Linked DNA regions of Arabidopsis thaliana. The protein of the gene in region 1 interacts with the protein of each later gene in a pairwise test. Each region holds a gene or a part of one and is shown in the gene's direction. Other genes may lie near its edges. The genes, in order: AT4G01090, AT3G12170, AT2G21830 and PAB3.

Region 1 (6,321 bases):
AAAAACAAGTGGGTGTGTATAAAAGTAGATGTCGGACCACAGTTGATAAGAATCAAATACCGAAAGCCTTATGGCTATTATTCTATGTGATAATTATGTAGATCACACATAAAAAAAGTTCACCAGCTCATTACTCATACTCACTTACATGATCAAGTTCAAATTATTAAAATGTAAAAGTCTTCATGTAAACAAATCGGGCCGTTCTAAGCCCATATAATGAAGCCTGTTATGCACCTAAACAAATAGGGCCCTTTTATCAATTAGGGAAAGAATTACGGGCCTAAACAGCTCAGAAGTTCTGTCAATTAAACTCTGTGTTTCCTTAGTCTAATAACTAACCGATAAAATAGGTAGTAAAAAAGTCAACGATAGTTATCCCAAAAATGCAATGTTAATATTTTTGTCAAATCTGATTGGTGTTGGAAAGTGGACTATCTATAAATCCATCTTTAAATGATAGACAGAGACACAGAGTAGAAGACTTTACAGCTGTACGTAGCTTTTTGTATAAACCACAAAAATAGTCAGAAGGCGACCTACACTATGTGATCATATAACACTCCCCATATATCTTTCAAGTCTTCGTTTACGAGGTTAATATTTTTCAACGTTTAGGATCCAGGTTTCTTTTAGATTCAAGTTGTGAATTAGAAAACAAACAAAAGAAGAAGTTTTGAGAGCACGTCTTCTAACATGGAAGCATTAAACTTGACGTATTTTTATGGACTATATTAATCGATATGCTGGGAGGATGATGAAAAAATAAAGAATTTATATATAAATATTAGTTATTTAGGTAAGTATGAAAGATAAATAATATATAAACCAAAAAATTTTTTTTAAAAAAATTAATTACAAAAATGCTATTGAATAAAAATAATTGTAATATTCGGATGATAAGTATATAATTATTTGTTTAATGTTTTAAAAACTATGATATCGCGATAAGTTTATAAATTATTTGTTAAAACATATTTATCGATTTAAAATTGTAAATCAGAATTTTTTATTTATGTATATTCAGCACAATAAAAGGAAATTAGACTTTTTTATATAATTAACATGATAATAATTATAACTACATGATATATAGAATGATAACATGCTAATATATTATATAACAGAATAATATTTATATGAAAACGTTAAGATATTCGATACATGAATAATGTTTACTGTAACGGATAATTTATACATAATATTTACTAATAATTGTTAACGAGGTTAACCTGATGATAACAATGAAAATATTTAGTAACAAAACAATATATGAGACTTTAATTAAAAAAAAGAAAAATACAGAAGAATAATAAAGTAACTTCATTAGTTCTTTTACTGTTGAAATAGTCCACAATTCCTACACCTAATTTTTCAGTCTTCTGAGCATATAAAGTGATATTTTCCTATTTTTATTTACTTTTTAATTGTATTATAATAATATTTGGGTATTTTTGGTTATTATAATAATATCTGAAAATATTATTGATATTTTTGGTTATTTTTATATTTTTACTAAAACAACCGAACCGATCCGAATCCGAACCAAAATCGAACCAAGTTTTTAGAATATCTGAATGGTTCTCAACCTCTTCATATCCGAATAGATTTGATATCCAAAAAAGAACCAAACAGATAGGGATACCCGAATGACCAGACCTAGTATTATTGATATAAAAAAGGTTGCTCAATGTATAATTTCATTTGACTAGCTGGTCTGTTTTCGTACAAACACACTCACAAAAGTACGAAAATAGGAAGTCGTCTTAGTTTTAGAAAATAACTATTGCTGCTTATTGGCATATATTGAAAAATCAAATACTACTAGTAATCGTAAGTTCTAAATTTGAATGTTTTTTTCCCGAGTAATTGAATTGTTCTTAGTAATTAAGTTCACAAATTTGGAAAATTGCGATATCTGAGAACGTATTAATTTACCTGTCGGTAAACAGTCACACTCATGTTTCTAGATTTCGTATATTTTAGTAATAATTTGGTTAGTCTCCTTATCTGCGAGTCAACGAGACCCGGTCCGCTCAACCGTACTACAGTCTAAATTCTAGTTTCACGCGCTTACTTACATTACATACGCGCTCATCTCTTCTTTACTCAAAAGTTTTAAAAAACGAATATCAAATCAACGCTAACAAAGTTTGATTTTTTGCTTCCATCTTCTTCCCCTCCTTAAGTTTTCAAATCTATTCATCAAATTTTCTTTTGTCTTTCCCTTAAGATTCCCGGGAAAGCCAAGGAAAAACGCTAGAAGAAAATTAACATAATAATGTTAATTGTTGCTTAAACCTTCCAGCTCAAGTTTGGTAGTAAGTAAGCAGACATTTAATCCCCCAAGAAGCAATTGAAGAAGACTTTTAATTCTTCTGAATTTTCTTTCCAAAAACCCCTTTTTAGAAAATTGGTTGCATCATAGAGATTGGTTCATTTATTCCCACCGGAGAAGATCATCAAATTCGTCTTCTCACCTATATCGCCGACGACATTCTTCACGGTTCGTTTGATTTCTACCTGTTGGTTCTTCGTTTTATCTGAATTCAATCGGAGATATATGTTTTTGAGTTCGAATTTGATAAAAAATCGAAACTTTTTTGATTTGAATCGCAGTTGGAAAAAAACAAAGCAAAACCCTAGAAATAGTGGCTGATGAGGTCGCGAGGCGATGTCTCTGAAGCAGAAGGTACGAGATCAGATGCTGGTTCTTCAAGAAGCGAAGAAGAAACGAGTCTGAAGGAGAAACACTCAAATTCGCGAGCTGGGTCTCAAAGATCTGGAAAAAGCTTGAGAAATGACGAGCCTAATTACGGATCAGATTCTTCATCTAAGAACACAAGCAGCAGCAACAACCCTATTGAGTATACAGAGCATGAACGAGCTGAGCTTTTAAGAAGGTTAGATTCTATCAAAGATCATCTACTTCGCGGTGGTGGTGGTGGTAATAATGTAGTTGATAAACCTAAAGAACCAGATCAGAATCAGCCTTTCCTTAGACCAGTTCATCTTCATGGTCATGCTAATCATAATCCTGGTCCTTCTTATTACCATCAGTATCCAGAACCTATTCAATACCCTGGACCGGTTCATGGAATGTATCCTCAAGCTTATCAAGATCCTTATGGGTACCAAAGAAGACCACCTCCAGTTCCTAATCCAAACTGGTATCCTCCTGGTCATTACCCTAATCAGATGGCTCGTCAGTATCCTGGAGGTCAATATGTTGAACTTGGTCCTGATATAGTTGAGCCACATTCTTACTATCCAGCTACTCCTGGTAGGTACGGTGACCTGCCTCCGTATAGCCCGGTTTCGTCTCACCATCGTGAAGAGAAACTCGCTACACAGTACAGTGATATGCCTCCGTATAGCCCGGTTTCGTCTCACCATCGTGGCGAGAAACTCACGACACCGTATAGTCCACGTGTTAATAACGGTTCGAGTTTTCCTTCTTCGATGGGCACTCCAGGTCCTCGAGGTGGTTATGCAAGGTGGCCGAGTGAACATGATTCTGAAATGGGCGGTGCTTTTGCTCGTGGGTATGTTAAGAAAGCTGTATCGGATACTGGTGTTCGACGTTGTCATCCTCTTGCTGGTGGTGCTCCTTTTATAGCTTGTCATAGTTGCTTTGAGCTGCTTTACTTGCCTAAGAAGAAGCTTTTGTCTCAGGAAAGGTTACATAAGCTGCAGTGCGGTGCTTGTTCTGAAGTTATTAGTTTCACAATCGTTGATAGGAAACTCGTTTTCTCTTCTGGTAATGAGGAAACAAAACCGGTCTCTCTAGAGGTTGAAGATAGAAACACAACAAACACAGTAGTGATAGAGGAGGAAGTCTCTTCTGTTGATTTCAACAGCTCAGGTAGAGATATTCCACGTAAGGATGAAGAAGAACCAGTGCAAGAACTGAGAAATCATCAGGATACTATTACTACGCAAAGCGTCCGCTCTGAATCTCAACACTCAGATGATGAAGAAAGATCGAGCAATTCTAGTGAACAACAACAGAAGGAGGTCAAATCTGTTCGTCGGCGAGGTAAAGGGTCAAAAGCACCTGAACCCGCTGCTCCTGATAATGCCAGTCTCCTTGAACTTTTTGAGTATTCTAATGTAAACAGAGCTGCACTCGCTTATGGAATGGCGCAGTTAGGTTATGAAAAGCCAGATAAGCAAAAGTCTTTCATGACACAGGACTCGCTGAAACCAGAATCAGTAGCTACAGAGACAGAGGTTTCTTACAATGGATACTCTAACACCGAGATCTCAGAAGATTCAAGGTACTCAAACAGAAAGGGTAGTGAGTACGGTTCGACAGAGATCACAACGAGGTCCTCTACTGATCAAAACGAAGACCAGATGAAGTCATTAGAGGTTTGGGTTAATGGACATCTTATACCAGAAGATCTTGTTAGCAGTGCTGAGAAATTAGCTGGACCAATCCAAGCTGGAAAGTATTGGTACTTCCATGAACTTCAGCATCCACTGTTTCTCTCTTGTTTTTGTTTTTCCCTTTACTCAGTTTCTGATACATGTCTCTGATTCAGGTATGATTACCGAGCTGGGTTCTGGGGAGTGATGGGCAAACCGTGTCTCGGTATAATACCTGTAAGTACCTTCACATTGTTCTCTCAAGTTGATTATTGGAATGGTGTCATCAAATTGATGAAGAAATGGTTGACTTACTTGTTGTTGTTGCAGCCATTTATTGAAGAGTTTAGCCATCCAATGCTGGATAACTGCGCTGCAGGAAACACAGACGTGTTTGTGAATGGAAGAGAGCTTCACAAGAGAGATTTCGAGTTACTTGTGGGTCGTGGTCTGCCTAGAGACAAGAACCGTTCTTACATTGTTGATATATCAGGAAGAATCCTTGATCAAGATTCAGGAGAAGAACTTCACAGCCTTGGCAAATTAGCCCCAACGTAAGCAGATTCACACAAATGATTTTTATTCTTTTGAGATTTTGAGATCACCTAAGATTCTAAAGTTTTAGTGTGTTAAACTTGAAACAGGATTGAGAAAGTGAAGCATGGATTTGGTATGAGAGTTCCAAGATCATTAGCTTCATGAAAACTCCCCCTAGTAACAACTACACAACCAAAATATGATTCTGCTTCTTGTTTCCATCTTCATATTATTTATTTGTTAAACACAACTGTAAAGTGTTTTTTACATCTTGATTTTGATTTTTGGTATTCTTTTTAAAATATCTTTGGGGAAATGTCTGTATGTTTTTTATTGCGACCAGAACCGGTTTAGGGGTTATAGACTGTATACAAACCGGGTTCTCTCGGTACAAGGTTTGTGCTTTGTATTATTTCCATTTTTTTATGGAATGATATTAGTTTGCTCTTAATGACTTTTTTTTTTATCTCTTTTATTGCTCTTTTGTAAGTTGTAACAGAAGCTTCATCGATAACATGGTTTACTCCTCCTAATTCCTTATTATCTCTGGTTTAACTAAATCGTTTATTTAAACCGGTTTTGGTTTGTAGGTTTCTTTCATGTCAGCAACAATATATGTAGGTCATTCGACCATACTCAACAATTCAATTAAACAATGTTCTCCTAGCTGATCTTTCTTTCTTCATGATTAGCTTCTAGGCTTGATTTGCCCTTTCCTCGAGTTCTAGGTGAATTATGGATTGGGATTATCTATCTATCGGTTAGTTATCCGGTTTCATCTTTCTTTCCACTAAAATGTTCATATTGTCTGCTAATTCCTCTCTTGGCTGATGGACTAGTTTTTGCACGTTTCTGAAGTGGGTCCTTCCTAAAATACAAGACAACAGATTATAACTTACTCATGGGCCCAATATCAATATCAATATCAAACAAGAAAGAGAATCTGTTCTTAACAGGCCTCGTGGTCCGTTCGTTTAGTTTTCATGTTTCAATATTTCTTAGAAAAATACAAAATTAGAGTAAGAACAAAAAGATACTAACTAGTAGCGAGCATGAGAAAAACGAGTAAGCAGAAGTTGTCCACTAATAATAAAATTGTGAGGAATCAAGAAATTCTCAATACAAAAAAATTTTAGCAATGAAGAAATAAAATAAAATATTATTAGCAATAATTGGAGTCACTAGAATGTTTCATATCTCTTTATATACTAACACTAGTGTTAGTTCATTCACGCAAATGTTAAAAACCAATTCTACCATTGTTAAACTTATACCAAATATTTAAACTAGTTACCTGCATCATTCTAATAACTAATAAGTCTCATGAATTCACAAACATAGCAATGTTTTGAATAACCCAATATATCATCAAAAAGTGTGGTGCTTCCGTGTTTGCTAAGTTCCAAGATTCAA
Region 2 (4,827 bases), on another chromosome or scaffold:
TGAATCGAATATGAATTTGGAACTTGGGTGCTTCAGATCTGGTGAGAAAGACGAAAGCAAGCATCCATTCCCCAATTTGTTTATCGAATCGGAGGTTTGACTTTGAAGTCAAGATAAAGAATATGAATGCAAAGGTGAATCCTTTGTTCGAGATCGATGGAGAAATCTAAGAAGAATAAGAAGATAGGTAAGAGGGTATGGGAGAAGCGTGAAGAAAATTGGGAAACCGGAGCAAAACGATTGAAACGGTGGGCTGATGATGATATTATGTGATGCCACGCTGGCATTTCGTGGGGTCCATTTTTTGGGTTTGGTCTTTTTGTAGAGAATCGTTATCCATACATTTGACATTGACAGAATTTGAAGCCCATTGGTCTGAATTATAGTTGGAATCGGCTGAAAAGAAAAAGAAAAAAAAGTTGGAATATGTATTTTCCTGATAATGAAGGTTGGAATATGATGGGACCACTATTTATTTGGTTGTCCTGTAAATAAGTAATGAATACTCTACACATAAAAAAAAGTGTATGTTCATATTTTTTTGATTGATAATAATACACATATCAGCAGAATTATCATCTTTTTCTTGTGAAATCAACACAAGACACACGATCTCATAAAAGGTTATTTTTTTCTATAAAATGTGATGTAAAAAATGGGGGCTTCTTGTTTCACCCTCATACTCTTTCTCTAGTAAACCTTGGCATATTGTTTCGTTTCAAGAACAAATGGCCTAACACGAATAACAAAATATATAAAGCGGGACAAAGAAAAAACAACAAGAACAACCAAAAAATACAATCTTTCTCTCTTTCGCTAGTAGAATTACGATTTGCCGCAACATCCACCTCTTTTCCCACTCTCTTGCTCGCTCGGGATGATGATTCTAGTTCCTTTCAAGAGACTTGAATTACCATCGGCGTCATCATCATCAGCCGTTAGTGATTTCTTGCTGATTATTCGGTAGATCTCTGTTAAGATGGTCAAAAATGCTGTTTCAACATTGGTAGCTTCTAGAGCAGAGGTTTCCATGAAAAACAAGTTTTCTCTTTGTGCAAACTCTTGTGCGTCTTCTGTTGGCACTGCTCTTAGGCTTCCAAGATCACATTTGTTCCCAATTAGCATAATCACTATGTTCTTGTCCGCATGTCCTCGTAACTCTTCCAGCCATTTAGCCATGTGATCGAATGATTGACGTTTGGTCATGTCGTAGACCAACATTGCCCCAACTGCTCCACGGTAGTATGCACTTGTCACCGCCCTATATCTGCCAAAGAAACACTTTGATAAACGTAAGAGCCTTAAACAAAGTGATGATCAAACATCACATATTCATGTTGCCCATTTGCCCATCAAAGATCCCAACCCATTGTTCATACATATCTACTTATATTGGAACATGTGTTGCCTAATTCAATGGCATCTCTAGCTGCTAAGACATAAATCAATCAAATGGATGAATTGTGAACGTTCTCTGATATATACCAAATGATATTCATGGTGTCATTACTTCTAATGAATGAAGAAGAAAAAAGCAAAACCTTTCTTGGCCAGCAGTATCCCAAATCTGAGCTTTGACGGTTTTGTTATCAATGACGAGCGTTTTAGTCTGGAATTCAACACCAATGGTGGCTTTAGAATCGACGCTAAACTCATTCCTAGCGAACCGAGCAAGAAGCTGAGTTTTGCCAACGGCAGAATCACCGATCAACACGACTTTGAAGACGTAATCGATCTTTTGGTTATAATCTCCATACAAATTAGACATCTCTCTTCTTCTTCTTATTATTATTATTTAAAAACACAACAACAAAGGAGAATGAATATACACAAATCTCCAGATCACGAATACGAAAGGCGAAGAGTCTCGGATTCGTATTGCACGCGTGAAACAGTCGAATCTACCATCAGACGAACACAGAAACTCAGATCACAATGAATGGTGGTTAGGCAGAGAAAGCGAAAAATTATTCAGAGATTGAGAGAAAGAGAGGATTAACGGCCGATGCGGGACCCTTTACTCTAGGAATTATTCTACTGTGCCATAGATCACCCTTAACCCAATTCATCCTGGCCGTTTACTTTATTCGTACCTTATTCACCGTTCAATTTCCTAATGGCACGGTACGTAAACATAACCGGCGCAATTTGAACGAATTAATTCAAAATCGATATCATACCAAATCAAGTTCGGTTTAACTACTATACCAGATTAGGTTATAACCTTGTTAAAATAGGCGGCAATGGAAATTTATTGGCGCCATAAATTTTCTGAGAAGCAAAATTTTAACTCCATTACTTATCTCTGGTGTGTACTTTCTCGGCGAAGGAGTTACACGAGAACGTTGAAAATGGAGAATGATGGAAGATCCAATGAGAAAAATCTGTACGAGGTATCTCAACATTCTCTTTATCCGATGGTTCCAATTAGGGTTTCCGTTTCTGGATTTGGGACTTGTTCCAGTTATGCTTCGAAATTTAAGATTGTTTTGTCGATTTTCATGTGCTGATTCGTCTGATGATGTTTTTGTGATAATCTGAATATCATTGTTTATTGTTGGGATTGTAAGAGGCTAAGAGACTTTACTTGGTTAAGATCCATGGTTTGATCAATTTGTACCGTAGCTGTTGCAATTCTTAGTTGTTTTCTTGGTGGTTAGTAGAATTCAGTGAAACGAACTAATGAATGCGTCTTTGTTGAAGGTTCTTGGTGTTGAAGCAACAGCATCTCCACAAGAGATAAGGAAAGCGTATCATAAGTTAGCATTGAGGCTTCATCCTGATAAAAACAAGGATGATGAGGTTTAACTGAGGGGTTTTGGTTTCTTTACTTTTCTTAGTTTTTAGGGGTCTATTCAATTTTACATTGTAACCGGAATTCTTGTTTTTCTTATCCAATACAGGATGCTAAAGAGAAATTTCAGCAGTTGCAAAAGGTTATTTCGATTCTCGGTGATGAAGAGAAAAGAGCAGTCTATGATCAAACTGGCTCAGTTGATGATGCTGTAAGTTGAAAGAAAGTTTTCAACTTAAGTAAAGGTACTGGAGGATTTTCTTACAAACTGGTTATTTCCCTATCTCATTAGGATCTTTCGGGAGATGTGGTTGACAACTTGAGGGACTTCTTCAAGGCAATGTACAAGAAGGTAAGAATCATGATTCACAATTGATTTCTTTTTGGACTTTGCAACACAACTGTTTCGTTCTGTATACTGATCATTTGTGCTATAGGTCACCGAGGAAGATATTGAAGAGTTTGAGGCCAACTATAGGGGTTCTGAATCCGAGAAGAATGATTTGATTGAGCTATATAACAAGTTTAAGGGTAAAATGAGCAGGTAATTAATCATCCCCTTGTTTTCATTATTGTCAAGTTTGTGAGTTGAAGTTTGTATAAACATTATTGGTACTATATCTCTTTCAGGCTTTTCTGCTCAATGCTTTGCTCGAACCCCAAGCTTGATTCGCACCGTTTCAAAGATATTATCGATGAGGCCATTGCAGCGGGTAGGCTTCTCTTTCTTGCAATAATTCTTTTGTCTATAAAACCTATCCAGGTTCTGATTTGTTTGTGCATACCATTGTTTAACATCTGCAGGAGAAGTGAAATCAACAAAAGCTTACAAGAAATGGGCAAAGGAGATTGCAGAAATGGAACCTCCCACGAATCCCCAGAAGATGAGACGGAAGTAAGCTTCTATTTGTCTACCTTTTCCACCCCAATAAATGCCCTCTGAAGTTATCTTTGTTGTGACCTGTTTCAAAATTTCTATACTTTCAGAGCAGCAAAGGCTGCAGATAAAGATTTATACGCTGTAATGTCCCAGCGGGGAGATGAGAGGAAAGAGAAGTTCGATTCAATGTTCTCTTCACTTGTCTCTAGGTATGGTAGCAATGCTGACTCTGAGCCAAACGAAGAAGAGTTCGAAGCTGCTCAGAGAAAAGTTGAAAGCCGGAGATCATCGAAGAAGTCTAGAAAAAAATAAAGATTATGTAGTAGTTTGTGAAATTTAGGTTTCGTGTTTGTAATGGAGACCAATGTTTTTAGCGTAAATTAGATCACATTTGTTGCTTCTTAGAAGTTGAAGACTAATGTGTATTTGCTAGGAAACAATGTGTATTTTTACTTTTTGTCTTTTTTCCAACAACAAAAAAAGCAGTGAGTTTACCAGTTCAAAAGCTCAGGGTCCCACGTGTATGTCGTCTGGATCTTCAGAAGAAGAGAAATTCTATCACCGGGTCCTAGGACTTCTCCACCTGCAAAAACAATCAGGTCGAGTAATGCATCATAATCAGTTGATAACTAAACAAGCCTTTGTTACAATGTAACATATAAACGTACGGTATCAACCAAGTTTCTCGGGAAGAGGAGAGTGGACGGATCCTTTGGCTTGTATAGGCCTAAATAAAGAACTAACAAATTTCAAGTGAACTTATTTAAAAGAACCAAATAATTATTCTAAAAGAGAAGAAAAAAATGAAATTATTTACTTATATGGCTTGTATAGGCCTAAATGGCATACAGTTAATAAATTTTGTTAGTTCTTTATTAATTAACACCAAGCATCTTTTTTTTTTGTTGAAAAAGAAAAAGGAATTTAACAAAAAGGATATTCACAAAAAGAAACTAGAGAAGTAATAATAAAAAGGAAAGAAGAATCTAATGTCCAATAGAACCCCAAAGTAAAGTACACCAATTGTTGAGAGAAGAAGAGTTCTTTTTTTTTCAAAGGTATTTAAGGAGAAGAGTCGCAGTCGCAAAAAGACGAATCGTAATTGTTGAAGAGAGCAAATATGGCTTGGGATTTGTTTTTATGGATAGTCTCC
Region 3 (5,307 bases), on another chromosome or scaffold:
TTCTTTGTTTAATATGCATTGGATCGATAGGTTGAAAGTGTTGGTAGCAATACCAAAGGTACAGCCAAGATACGCTATAGCAGTGTCAAAGAAATACCCATCCTTGAAGTCACTTCTTAAGGTTTATATGGATCCTAACATATCGGTGAGTTAACACAAACTACGGATATTGACTTCTTGAGTTGTTGTTTCTAATGGCTTCTGATGCAAATTGTGTTGTGTTGGTTAACAAAATTGGGGACCAGGTTCATGAGAAGGAGTTTCTACTGAAAGACTTGAAAGTGGAAAATTTAGTAGGAAGAGACACAAGTGTAGGTGAGGCCTGTTCGAAGCGGATATACAGAGTGCTTATGTCTTTAGATGGAACCATTAAGACTGATGACGTCGAAAATGGTGCTGCTTCCTTCACACTTCCTCCATCTGACTTAATTTAGAACTAGAGAGAACATCAAATAGGTTCTTAACTTTCTATGTCAAACAAAACAGAAGAATGATTGTGTCTGAGATTTTTTTTTGTATATGCATGCAAAGTTCATTATGTTGTTTGAAGTCTTTAATGTGTGTAGTCCTGACTCGTTTTCTAAAGAGTAAAGATAATGATATATTTTCTGGCAAGTGGTTTTGAGTGCTTGACTTGTAGAGTTGCAATTCTGTTTTCTTCTTTTCATTACAATTCTGTTTTCTTCTTTTCTTTTCTTATTGATGATGAAAAGCTACTCATACTCATAATCAACAGGAAAAGCCTTCGCCGTTGTACTTGAAAGTTTTGTATTCTTCTAGCAAAGTTACCATGAGATCAATAGATCAAGAAACCTCTGGAACCAACAACTTGGAAAACAAACTACAGTATGACTTTTACATAATCAATCACGCTCATGAAAACTAAAAACACTTTTTCTCGTTTTGGCTAATTGCTTCAGGTAGGTTAATGATATATGGCATATGCATGTTATGAAACCAGTCCTCATGAGTGCTCTTGATAAATATCCATATTGCAAGATATGTGGAGGAAACATACTTGGTAACCCATGGAAATGTGAGACCTGCCGCTTCGAGACACATCAGTACTGTGTGGAGTTGGGGCGACCATCAAGACATCGATTTCATCAGAACCATCCTTTGACACTGTTGACAAAGTATCCTTCACAGGAAAAGATGAAATGTGACATTTGCAGAGAGAATATATACGATTTCAATCTCTTCTGCCGTATATGTACTTTTGTTATCCACATCAACTGTGCCTTGAAAAGTAAACATGTTCTTGAAGCTTTAAGGCAGAAATTCACTGGAACTTGGAGTTTTTGTTTGGGAAAGCTGTGTCATGTATGACGTGTGAAGAGATATATCATCCTGTGTATTGAGAGCTACCATACTGGTTCTGTCTCAGGATTCAACACATGTTATTTCCTTGTGTTGTTATAAGTTTAGGTGTTTTACTCTTGGTTGGTTTTGTGAAGGTCCTATTTGATCTTGCTTCTCTGTTTTTTCATACACAGATCCTATTGGTTTTTTAAGAGGACACAGTTTGATTTGGTTCATAATAAAGAGTCTGAATGTTAGGTTTCATTGTTTTCTCATAAAAGACTTTTATTGATTAGTTTTCTACTCAAAACATGTTTTTAATATTACATGACTATGACAGGACCGTATCTGAACATATTTTACAGAGACCTAGCCGGTACCGGTAACACCAAGATCCTGCTTCTTGTCGTCTTTACCAGCACCAAAGACAGGTCCGCCAAGACCAGCAGCATCAGAGACCTTGTCTTGAAGCTTGTCAACTTGAATCCCACCTTCGTCTTCCTTTGACCTTATATCAAGCTTCGTCTTGTTCTGTCCTCCTTCCACTGACTCGTACGTTGTCGCCGTTCTTGAATCCATCGGCTCTGCTCCTTGTGCTCCCGACATCGTTGATGATACCGATCCTTCTTAACTCATTTTCCCCTTTTGTCCACAAAACTTATTTATGCCCTCAAGCCATGGTCTTAAAACCTGCCACCTTGCCAAGACGTGGCAGTTCTTCAGAAGTCTAGACCTATCTTGTTGGTCACGTGTCGTAAGTTAGCCAAAAGAAGTCGTCTTTGACCCTTATCATCTGTTGGATTTATGCTTCTTGATATGTTATCGAACATGCTTATGAATAAAGAACTGTCTAGTGAAAGGTACTTCACACTGAGAAGACTCTTCATCAATTTTTAAGTTTCATATTCAATAACAATTTTAAGTATCATTATTACTTCAATTACCATAATGATACCAAAAAAAAAAAAATGGGCTCAATAGAATCCAATTAAGCATGGTCAGTAAACGAAATAAAAAATATTAAATTTTCCAACCACACCACGTTGAGAAACAATTATTGAGCCACTAATTTATTACTCTCTCTCTCTCTGTCGACCTCACAATTAGTTATGCTTTTGGGATTTTGAATCATGAAGGTTCTTTGATCAAGATTACTGTGTTATCTAATGGTACTCTTAGATCAAGATTCCAATCTTGCTTCTTCCCCATGGGAAAACTCGAGCATTTCTCCCACTCATGCCCTTTGACCTCGCCGGAGATTGTAGCTGAAGGCATCTGCAACATTTGCTTCCAAGACCAAGTTGTTGAATACGCATGTAAGCCTTGCAATTTTGATATATGTAAGACTTGCTCCAAGCTGCCGCAAAAGGTGTCACATGGTTTTCACTCAGATCATCCTCTTGAGTTTTCTCTATTCCAATATGATCGAAAACCTGGTTACATTGTCTGCTCTTGTTGTGGGAACATGTCTTCTTGCTCATTCTATGAATGTAAAGAATGTGAGATCTATCTTGATCTCGGTTGTGCACTACTGAAGAACGTTTTCACTGGTTGGGACGTTAGAGAAATGCTTCATTACAGTCATGAACATTTGCTTCGAAGGTGTAAACCAGGACAAGATGCTAGAGGCTCTTGCCTGCTTTGTGAGCTCCCTCTTTCTCCCTCTTCTATATGTTACGGTTGTGTTTACTGTTACTCGTTTCTCCACGAGCGCTGTCTCGATCTTCCGACAGAGATTCGACATCCCGTGCATCTGGAACACCCTCTCAGACGCCTTGATTACATACGAAGTGGTGGTCGAACATTTTGCGGTGCGTGTAGAGAGAAGATTGACAGTGTCCCCTTTGGCTGCCTAGAATGTGGTTTTTACATTCACATGAGGTGTGCAGATTCGTTTTTGCGCTGTCTGATGCATGAATCTCATGAGCATAAATTGTTTTATGTATCTTCGAATGCTAAAGAACATTTTGGAAGAAACAATTGTTGCCAAATATGCTTGGGAGCTGTAGTGAGCTCTCTCGATTCTTACTACCACTGCATCGAATGTGAATTGGAGTTTCATTTCGAATGCCTTGGGATTTCCAAGACCATTTCTAAGAGATCTTGTCACATTCATCCACTTGTTTGTAAAAGAGTACGTGAAGAGGATGATTCTTTGGAGTACTGTGGCGTTTGCGAGACATTGATTCATGCCGGACATCATGTTTATTCGTGCGAAGAATGTGATTTTCTTGGTCACATTGAATGCATTCTACGCGAGGTAATCAATATCGTTTTTGTGTTTTTTTGTTTCTTAATAATGATGCAATGCTGATGATCTATATCTACAAACTACAGAAAGAGCCATCACCATTGTACTTGAAGGATCTGTATTCTTGTGTTGAAGACGTCAAAAGAGCAACAAACCAAGAAGACTATGAAACCAACAAAGTTATGGTATGGCTTTATAATTATCTATCAGTGGAAGAAAAGTATGAACATCATTTTAAGCCAGCCTTTTGTCTCAAACGTGTAAGGTATATGTTGCAGGTTCATGATATCAACCATAATCATGTGGTGACATCGATTGATATGTGTGAGCTTGAAGGCAAAGAACATTGTCACATATGTGAAAAAGAAATACTTGGTAATCCATGGAAATGCGAGACTTGCAACTTTGTGACACATAACTTCTGTGTGGAGCTAGGGAAACCATCAAGACATCGGTTTCATTGGAACCATCTTTTGACACTCATGCCAAAACCAGTTGCTACGGATATGACGAGTTGTAAAAGCTGCAGAGAGGATATAAAAGGGTTCAATCTATTTTGTCGAATATGCAATTTTATTATCCACGTCAGTTGCGCCATGAAAGGTAAACGTTTTCTTGGGATGACAGGACCGAAAGTCGTTGGAACTTGGAGAGGACGTTGTTTGGGAGGCAAGCATAGAATGGTCCAAGTTATGTTCCCGAGGTCATATCAAAAAGTTTGTATTATTTGTCATGAGAGGGTGCTTGGGAAGGCTGTGTCATGTATGGAGTGTGAAACGATTTATCATCTTCGGTGTATTGACCGACATCGTATCAAAGACCGTGATTCTTCGTAGTTAGGTTGTTCCTCCTCTGAAACTAAGTTCTGCAACTTCTTGTTATGTTATATACCTCTAAAATTTTGTCGGTTAGTAAATCATGTTTGTAATATGTTTATTTGCTCTGTTTATTTCTTGTTCTGTTTTCTTTGTTTTTGGCACACTATGTATTTTCAATCCTCTGTTTTGGATTCCATTATCGTTTTTCCAGTTCCAATGGTGTTTTTCTTATGTAATCTTGGTGACATAATACACAAAGTTCAGTGTTTCCATTGGAAAAGCCAGCGGCCCCTGCAGGTGCAGGAGTTGTTATGAATTGTAACATTTGCATGAATGATATAGAAGGGTTCAATCTCTTCTGTCGCCTATGCAATTTTATCACCCATACTATACTAGTCATAGGTCACCAATATATTGTCTGCTCTGGTTGTGGGAATATGTATTCTTGCTCATTTTACGAACGTGAGGTCTATCTTGATCTTGGTTGTGCCTACTGAAGAACATTATCACAAGTTGTTAGAGAAATGCTTCAGTACAGTCATGAACATTTGCTTCGAAGGTGTAGACCAGGACAAGACGCTAGAGGCTCTTGCCTGCTTTGTGAGCTCCCTTTGTCTCCCTCTTATACATGCTACGGTTGTGTTTCCTGTTACTTGTTTCTCCACGAGCGTTGCATTGATCTTCCAACAGAGAGTCAACATCGCGTGCATCCGAAACACCCTCTTAGAGGCCTTGATTACATATGAAGTGGTGGTCGAACATTTTGTGGTGCGTGTAGGGACAAGATTGAAAGTGTCCCGTTTGGTTGTCTAGAATGCGGTTTTTACATTCACATGAGGTGTGCAGATTCTTTATTGCGCAGTCTGATGCAATGAAACGGAAAGTTTCAGGAATATTTCCAACCAACTAACAAACAAGTCTTCCGCTGTTTCATGA
Region 4 (6,295 bases), on another chromosome or scaffold:
TTGACTGAAGCTGATGTGGCATTGACCGCTTCCTATAATAAGCTTGATGAACCGTATCAATGCCACAATTATAATCTTCATAAATAAACGGATGTGTTTTACACACTACTGTAATATTTTGTTACTCCATCATTCAACATACCAATCATCATCATTTTTATATTTTAATTAAAAAGATTACATTTCACAACTTATATACAATTGAAAATAGAGAACATCTTAACAATATCCCTATAGTAAATTTTCTTTTAGTCAACTATTTAAAGATTTCAAAATGGTTTATTGTAATCCATGTGATCCGGTCAAAGAATCCAAAATAGTTTAATATCTCTATTTATAGTAGAAGAAAAATAACTAGCTACACAAAATATCGGAGAATGCATGATCACACATGTCAAGCATATTAGTGTATCCCTAGCTATACGAAGTAGATGTATTGTATGACCACATATCTGAACTATACGACGTCATGTAGTTAACACCACAGACATGCAATTCCGGTACACTAATAAATTTACTCCGTTGAAGACCAGTGTTGACCGGCATAGTTGAGGATACTATAGTATAATTGGCATGGGTAAATTAACTAAAAATCATCAATCCATTTATCATAATCCAAATTCTGGTCAAAAGAATCTAAAAATAGTTTCATAAAAATAGTTTCATGTTTCTGTTTACAGTAATAAAATTGATATCTTAGTCATGACCAAATCAATAGCCGCAAGTTATGCTCCCAAAAATTAGCTGTTCATCTTTTACTCCAATCAAAAACATAAAAAAAAAAAAACAATTACAATTTCTATTCTAAGTAAATGTTAAATAAATTTATTAAATTTTACCTCCTAAGACTTCAGTGGTTACACTATTAGAAAATAATTAGATTTGTGTGCCTAAAAGCCTTAGAAGCATGCATTTTTTATGAATAAATAAATTTAGTATTGATTTCGGTATAGAAAATGAAATTAGCAAATTCTTGATATGTGTAACTAAAATAAAATCTTATGTAAAAAACAGAAGCGATAAAGGCAAACATAATTCAAAACTGCGACCAATTCTTATTATCAAAGATTTATGAAACACCAATTAGCTATTAATAGTAAAAATCAAGTGACACTTTCCCTATACTAAATTGTTAATTGTTCGGATTTATAGGCTTAGCTAGTTAAGTATAAATATTAATCCACACTCTTCACACTAATTCAATTTTATCCCTAATAAAAAACTTGAATCTATATATGTGTATCAATATATGTGTATGATATTTAAAGGGGTTTGTAGTCTATTGAAATAAATAAAAGATTCCATTATCCATGATTTTTAATAAGTTACTTCGTAGCATTACTAAACCTATTTACATCATCAACAATACAACTGATTTAATTTCAACTAACTAAAAAATTACCAATTTATTTATCATAAATTCATAATCTAATATCTGGTCAAAAGAATCTAAAAATAGTTTCATGTGTCTATTTATAGTAATAAGATTGATATCTTAGTAATGACCAAATCAATAGCCGCAAATTTTGCTCTGAAAAATTAGTTGTTCGTCTTTACTCTAATCAAAAACATAAATAAAAAATCACAATTTTTATCCAAAGTAAATGTTAAATCAATTTATTAAATTTTAGCTCTTAAGACCTCATTAGTTATATTATTAGAAATTAATTAGATTTGTGTGCTTATAAGCCTTAGAAGCATGCATTTTTTTATGAATAAATAAATTTAATGTTGCTTTCGATATAGAAAACAAAATTAGCACATGCTCGATAAGTGTAACTAAAATAAAACCTCATGTAATAAAAAAAGAAATAAAGGCAAACATAATTTAAAACTGCGACCAATTCTTATTATCAAAGATTCATGAAATATTCAATTAGCTATTAATAGTAAAATCAAGTGACATTTTATTTATACTAAATTGTTAATTGCTCGGTTTTATAGGCTTAGCTAGTTATGTATAAATATGCATCCACACTCATCACACTAATTCAATTTTATCCCTCTTTACTCTTCTTGATAATCGGAGGAAACTAAAAAAGGAAAAAAAAAAATCTAAATAAGAATAAAATTCCTAAAAAATAAATAAATCAAAAATTGTGAAGAAACAAATCCTCGAGTCATGTTGTTTACAGAAAATCTCTTTCTCACTTAAAACCCTTACAGAAACAAATCATCGAATCTTTGTTTTTTTAGAATCAGTGATTTTGTTTCCTTTCACGAGACGAAAATAACAAATCGTCTTGTAAAAAGTAAACTCATAATCATGGCGGCGGCGGTTGCCACAGGTGTTGCACCGGCGACAATGGTTGATCAAGTTCCCAGTCCGACGGCGCAGACTTCGGTTCAGGTTCCGGTTTCAATACCTCTTCCATCCCCGGTCGTGGTAGCCGATCAAACCCACCCGAACTCGTCGCTCTATGCCGGTGATCTGGACCCGAAAGTTACTGAAGCACATCTATTTGATTTGTTCAAACATGTTGCTAATGTCGTCTCGGTAAGAGTTTGCCGCGATCAGAATCGTCGATCTTTGGGATATGCCTACATCAATTTCAGTAACCCTAACGATGGTAAATACAATTCTATATCGCTTCAATTGCAAGTTAGGGTTCATGTCTTGCAAAACAAAATATATATATTATCATGAATTGCATTACAATAAGAAAAAGTGTTTTGATTTGATTTTTTTCAATCTCAATTTTTTATTAGACATGGTAATTAATTTTGATCAGTATCATGTTCCTGTGCGAATCATCTTTTTTTTTGTCTAGAAATTAACATATAATCAATATTCTATATTGTAGTTCATCTCTACTATACCATGATTCTGCTACATTGATATGTTTCGTTTGAATATCAAAGCTACAACATTTATTTTAGTAGTTGATGCATCAGTCTCTTATATTATGATTTTTCTTAATTAGTTCAATTTAATACGTGAAATTTGTTTGAAATTGTTCTTTCAATCTCATTAATTGTAGAAACTATAGGTATTTGTGCATTTATAAATATCATAGATGCTGGTTTTCTATAATGAATTGAGATCTTATTTGCCTATGTTTATATGTTGATTTATGTTTGCAGCTTACCGTGCAATGGAGGCCTTGAACTACACTCCCCTCTTTGATAGGCCCATTCGGATCATGCTTTCGAACCGTGACCCAAGCACGCGATTGAGCGGCAAAGGAAACATTTTCATCAAAAACCTTGACGCTTCAATCGACAACAAGGCCTTGTTCGAGACGTTTTCAAGTTTTGGAACCATCCTCTCATGCAAAGTTGCAATGGACGTGACTGGCCGGTCCAAGGGGTATGGATTTGTCCAGTTCGAGAAGGAGGAATCGGCTCAAGCCGCAATTGACAAGCTAAACGGAATGTTAATGAACGACAAGCAAGTTTTTGTGGGACACTTCATCAGACGTCAAGAGCGTGCTCGTGATGAAAACACCCCTACACCGCGTTTCACTAACGTGTACGTCAAGAATCTCCCCAAGGAGATTGGTGAGGACGAGCTACGAAAAACGTTTGGTAAATTTGGAGTGATATCGAGCGCAGTTGTAATGAGGGACCAGAGCGGAAACTCGAGGTGTTTCGGGTTTGTGAATTTTGAGTGCACTGAAGCAGCGGCTTCGGCGGTTGAGAAGATGAATGGAATTAGCTTAGGGGATGATGTGTTGTACGTTGGGAGGGCGCAAAAGAAGTCTGAGAGAGAGGAAGAGCTAAGAAGGAAGTTTGAGCAAGAGAGGATAAACCGGTTTGAGAAATCTCAAGGAGCGAACCTGTATTTGAAGAATCTTGATGATAGTGTTGATGATGAGAAACTCAAGGAGATGTTCTCTGAGTATGGAAATGTGACATCCTCCAAGGTAATAATTAATTAAAAACTCATACATATATTCATAAATATATATGTTGTTGATGTTACGTTGTCTTTGACACAATCCTTTAACTAATGTAGGTTATGCTTAATCCACAAGGAATGAGCAGAGGATTTGGTTTTGTTGCTTATTCCAATCCTGAAGAAGCTTTAAGAGCCGTGAGTTACTAAAACTATAATATATTCTTCTTTTATTGTTCGTCTCTTTTGATATCTGAGAGATTGTTACATATGAGACAATGCAGCTGAGTGAAATGAATGGGAAGATGATCGGAAGAAAACCTCTATACATAGCTCTTGCGCAGCGCAAAGAAGATAGACGAGCACACTTACAGGTTTTTTAAAAACTCTTTTAACATATTTAAAAGAAATGGGTTTGTTAAAGCTATATGTGTGACTAAGTACATAAGTTTGCAATTTTTTCAGGCGTTGTTTTCACAGATTAGAGCACCAGGGCCAATGTCAGGGTTCCATCACCCGCCAGGTGGACCAATGCCCGGTCCACCTCAACACATGTACGTAGGCCAAAACGGAGCAAGTATGGTCCCGTCCCAGCCCATTGGATATGGATTCCAGCCTCAGTTCATGCCCGGGATGCGTCCAGGTTCTGGCCCGGGCAACTTCATCGTGCCTTATCCGCTTCAAAGACAACCTCAGACCGGTCCTCGTATGGGATTCAGGCGTGGTGCTACTAACGTGCAACAACACATCCAACAACAACAAGTATGTTACTAAACTGAGTCTGTTTATAGTTTTCAACAATCATGAAACTGAGTTGGATTGAATATTGACAGCTTATGCACCGTAACCCGTCCCCGGGAATGAGATATATGAACGGTGCGAGTAACGGGAGGAACGGAATGGATTCGAGTGTTCCTCAAGGAATCTTACCTCCTATCATTCCTTTGCCAATAGATGCTTCTTCGATCTCTCACCAGAAAGCTCCTCTCCTTCCAATCTCTAAGCTCACTTCTTCCTTAGCTTCTGCTAGTCCAGCTGATCGCACTCGGGTTTGCCTCTTTTCCTTCCATCTCAGCTAAACATTTCTTTGTTTTGCGTTTTCTTTTGCATTTGGTGTATAACTTTTGAATAATAAACCCTTAACTCTAAACATATGTTTTCAATTGTTGATGCAAAACCAAACGCAAAGAGAGGTCAGTCACATTTGCATTTTATCTTACAAAATATTTCCTGAATAACTGAAAAATGTTTTGGTGAATTTTGTTTCTTAACATCAAATGTTTGAAAGAATTATGGTCTTATAACAAATAAATAAAAGTTAAAGTCACATAAATATATAGTTGATAGAGATTGGCATATCTATATATTTATATGTTTACTGATTTTTATTTTTAAAAAATTGGTTGGGAACAGATGCTTGGAGAACAACTGTACCCACTTGTGGAAAGGCACGAACCACTTCACGTGGCTAAAGTCACAGGAATGTTGTTGGAGATGGATCAAGCTGAGATCTTGCACCTGATGGAGTCACCAGAGGCACTCAAGTCTAAAGTATCCGAGGCTTTGGATGTTCTCAGGCTATCTGTTGATCCAACTGATCATGATCTTGGTTTCTCTACCACCGACTGAAATTTGCAATGCGTTTGCTCAACTCTGTTTTCTTCTTTTAGTTTTGATATCGACTCCTTTTCTTTTCTTTTTTGGGTTTTAGTCTTCCTTTACTATTTTAGCAGTTTTTTTTTGTTTACTTAGTTTATGGTTTTTGTGTCTTTAACTTAGTTTATGGTGTTTTTCTTTTTCTTTGGACAATGATGATTTCTTAATAATCTGAGTAGACTTCTTCTTCCGAATCCCCAAATAATCCATCTCTACTTGAAATTTAAGTTGTTCGGTATTCATGGTCAGCAACAAGGGACAATCCTTCTATTATGGTAGCAGCCTTCTATTATGAATTTATTCGAATGTGTCTACTCATAATTTGTGGTTTGTATTTCAACTTGTAGTTGATATCAATTATATGCACACAGACTTTTTCTTTTTGAGGGGTTGGAAGCAAGCGATTCAATGATTGTACCACTCATTTCATAATAGTGTTTGATATGACGTTAATTTGAATGGTTTATGTTGATCGAAAATACTCTCAGTCACAACAAGAATCTAATTCGATTAATTTATTTGAAAAACATATGTTGGCATGGTACATGAACCAGCTCGTTCATATGAAAATATTTTAAAAAGTCAACATCAGTGCTAATTTCAAATTGACCATACATTAGCACACAAGAAGACTAACAAAAAAAATGAGTGAATAAAGAAGAGAGTGAGTGGGGTTGATACATGTCACCGTCCAAAATGTGTCTGACCCTTCTCATTGGAGCTACAAGAGCCGACCCTTTGCCTCATCATTTGTTGACTTCACTCTCCTTTTACATATTTAAATTATAACTTGCTCATATT

Evidence for each region.
Region 2: the proteins of AT4G01090 (region 1) and AT3G12170 interact in a two-hybrid assay, tested with the Arabidopsis thaliana proteins (one large-scale study listed by BioGRID).
Region 3: the proteins of AT4G01090 (region 1) and AT2G21830 interact in a two-hybrid assay, tested with the Arabidopsis thaliana proteins (one large-scale study listed by BioGRID).
Region 4: the proteins of AT4G01090 (region 1) and PAB3 interact in a two-hybrid assay, tested with the Arabidopsis thaliana proteins (one large-scale study listed by BioGRID).

The regions. Positions count from the first base shown.
Region 1 is NC_003075.7:469,586-475,906, reverse strand, and holds AT4G01090 (hypothetical protein (DUF3133)), read left to right. Parts: upstream 1-2,027; 5' UTR 2,028-2,506; intron 2,507-2,619; 5' UTR 2,620-2,658; coding exon 2,659-4,460; intron 4,461-4,547; coding exon 4,548-4,608; intron 4,609-4,701; coding exon 4,702-4,925; intron 4,926-5,015; coding exon 5,016-5,073; 3' UTR 5,074-5,401; downstream 5,402-6,321.
Region 2 is NC_003074.8:3,878,670-3,883,496, forward strand, and holds AT3G12170 (Chaperone DnaJ-domain superfamily protein), read left to right. Parts: upstream 1-2,238; 5' UTR 2,239-2,243; coding exon 2,244-2,393; intron 2,394-2,703; coding exon 2,704-2,802; intron 2,803-2,903; coding exon 2,904-3,005; intron 3,006-3,086; coding exon 3,087-3,146; intron 3,147-3,231; coding exon 3,232-3,338; intron 3,339-3,424; coding exon 3,425-3,507; intron 3,508-3,598; coding exon 3,599-3,689; intron 3,690-3,781; coding exon 3,782-3,986; 3' UTR 3,987-4,179; downstream 4,180-4,827. Other genes in the region: RABA4D (RAB GTPase homolog A4D), read right to left, coding at 826-1,267, 1,542-1,768; AT3G12180 (Cornichon family protein), read left to right, coding at 4,795-4,827.
Region 3 is NC_003071.7:9,301,312-9,306,618, forward strand, and holds AT2G21830 (Cysteine/Histidine-rich C1 domain family protein), read left to right. Parts: upstream 1-2,401; 5' UTR 2,402-2,509; coding exon 2,510-3,562; intron 3,563-3,639; coding exon 3,640-3,738; intron 3,739-3,831; coding exon 3,832-4,389; 3' UTR 4,390-4,714; downstream 4,715-5,307. Other genes in the region: EME1A (essential meiotic endonuclease 1A), read left to right, coding at 31-145, 246-434; AT2G21810 (Cysteine/Histidine-rich C1 domain family protein), read left to right, coding at 943-1,329; AT2G21820 (seed maturation protein), read right to left, coding at 1,672-1,908.
Region 4 is NC_003070.9:8,053,333-8,059,627, forward strand, and holds PAB3 (poly(A) binding protein 3), read left to right. Parts: upstream 1-1,992; 5' UTR 1,993-2,266; coding exon 2,267-2,570; intron 2,571-3,084; coding exon 3,085-3,866; intron 3,867-3,958; coding exon 3,959-4,036; intron 4,037-4,122; coding exon 4,123-4,212; intron 4,213-4,303; coding exon 4,304-4,600; intron 4,601-4,671; coding exon 4,672-4,887; intron 4,888-5,251; coding exon 5,252-5,467; 3' UTR 5,468-5,728; downstream 5,729-6,295. UniProt on the Arabidopsis thaliana protein: Binds the poly(A) tail of mRNA. Appears to be an important mediator of the multiple roles of the poly(A) tail in mRNA biogenesis, stability and translation. In the cytoplasm, affects both translation and mRNA decay.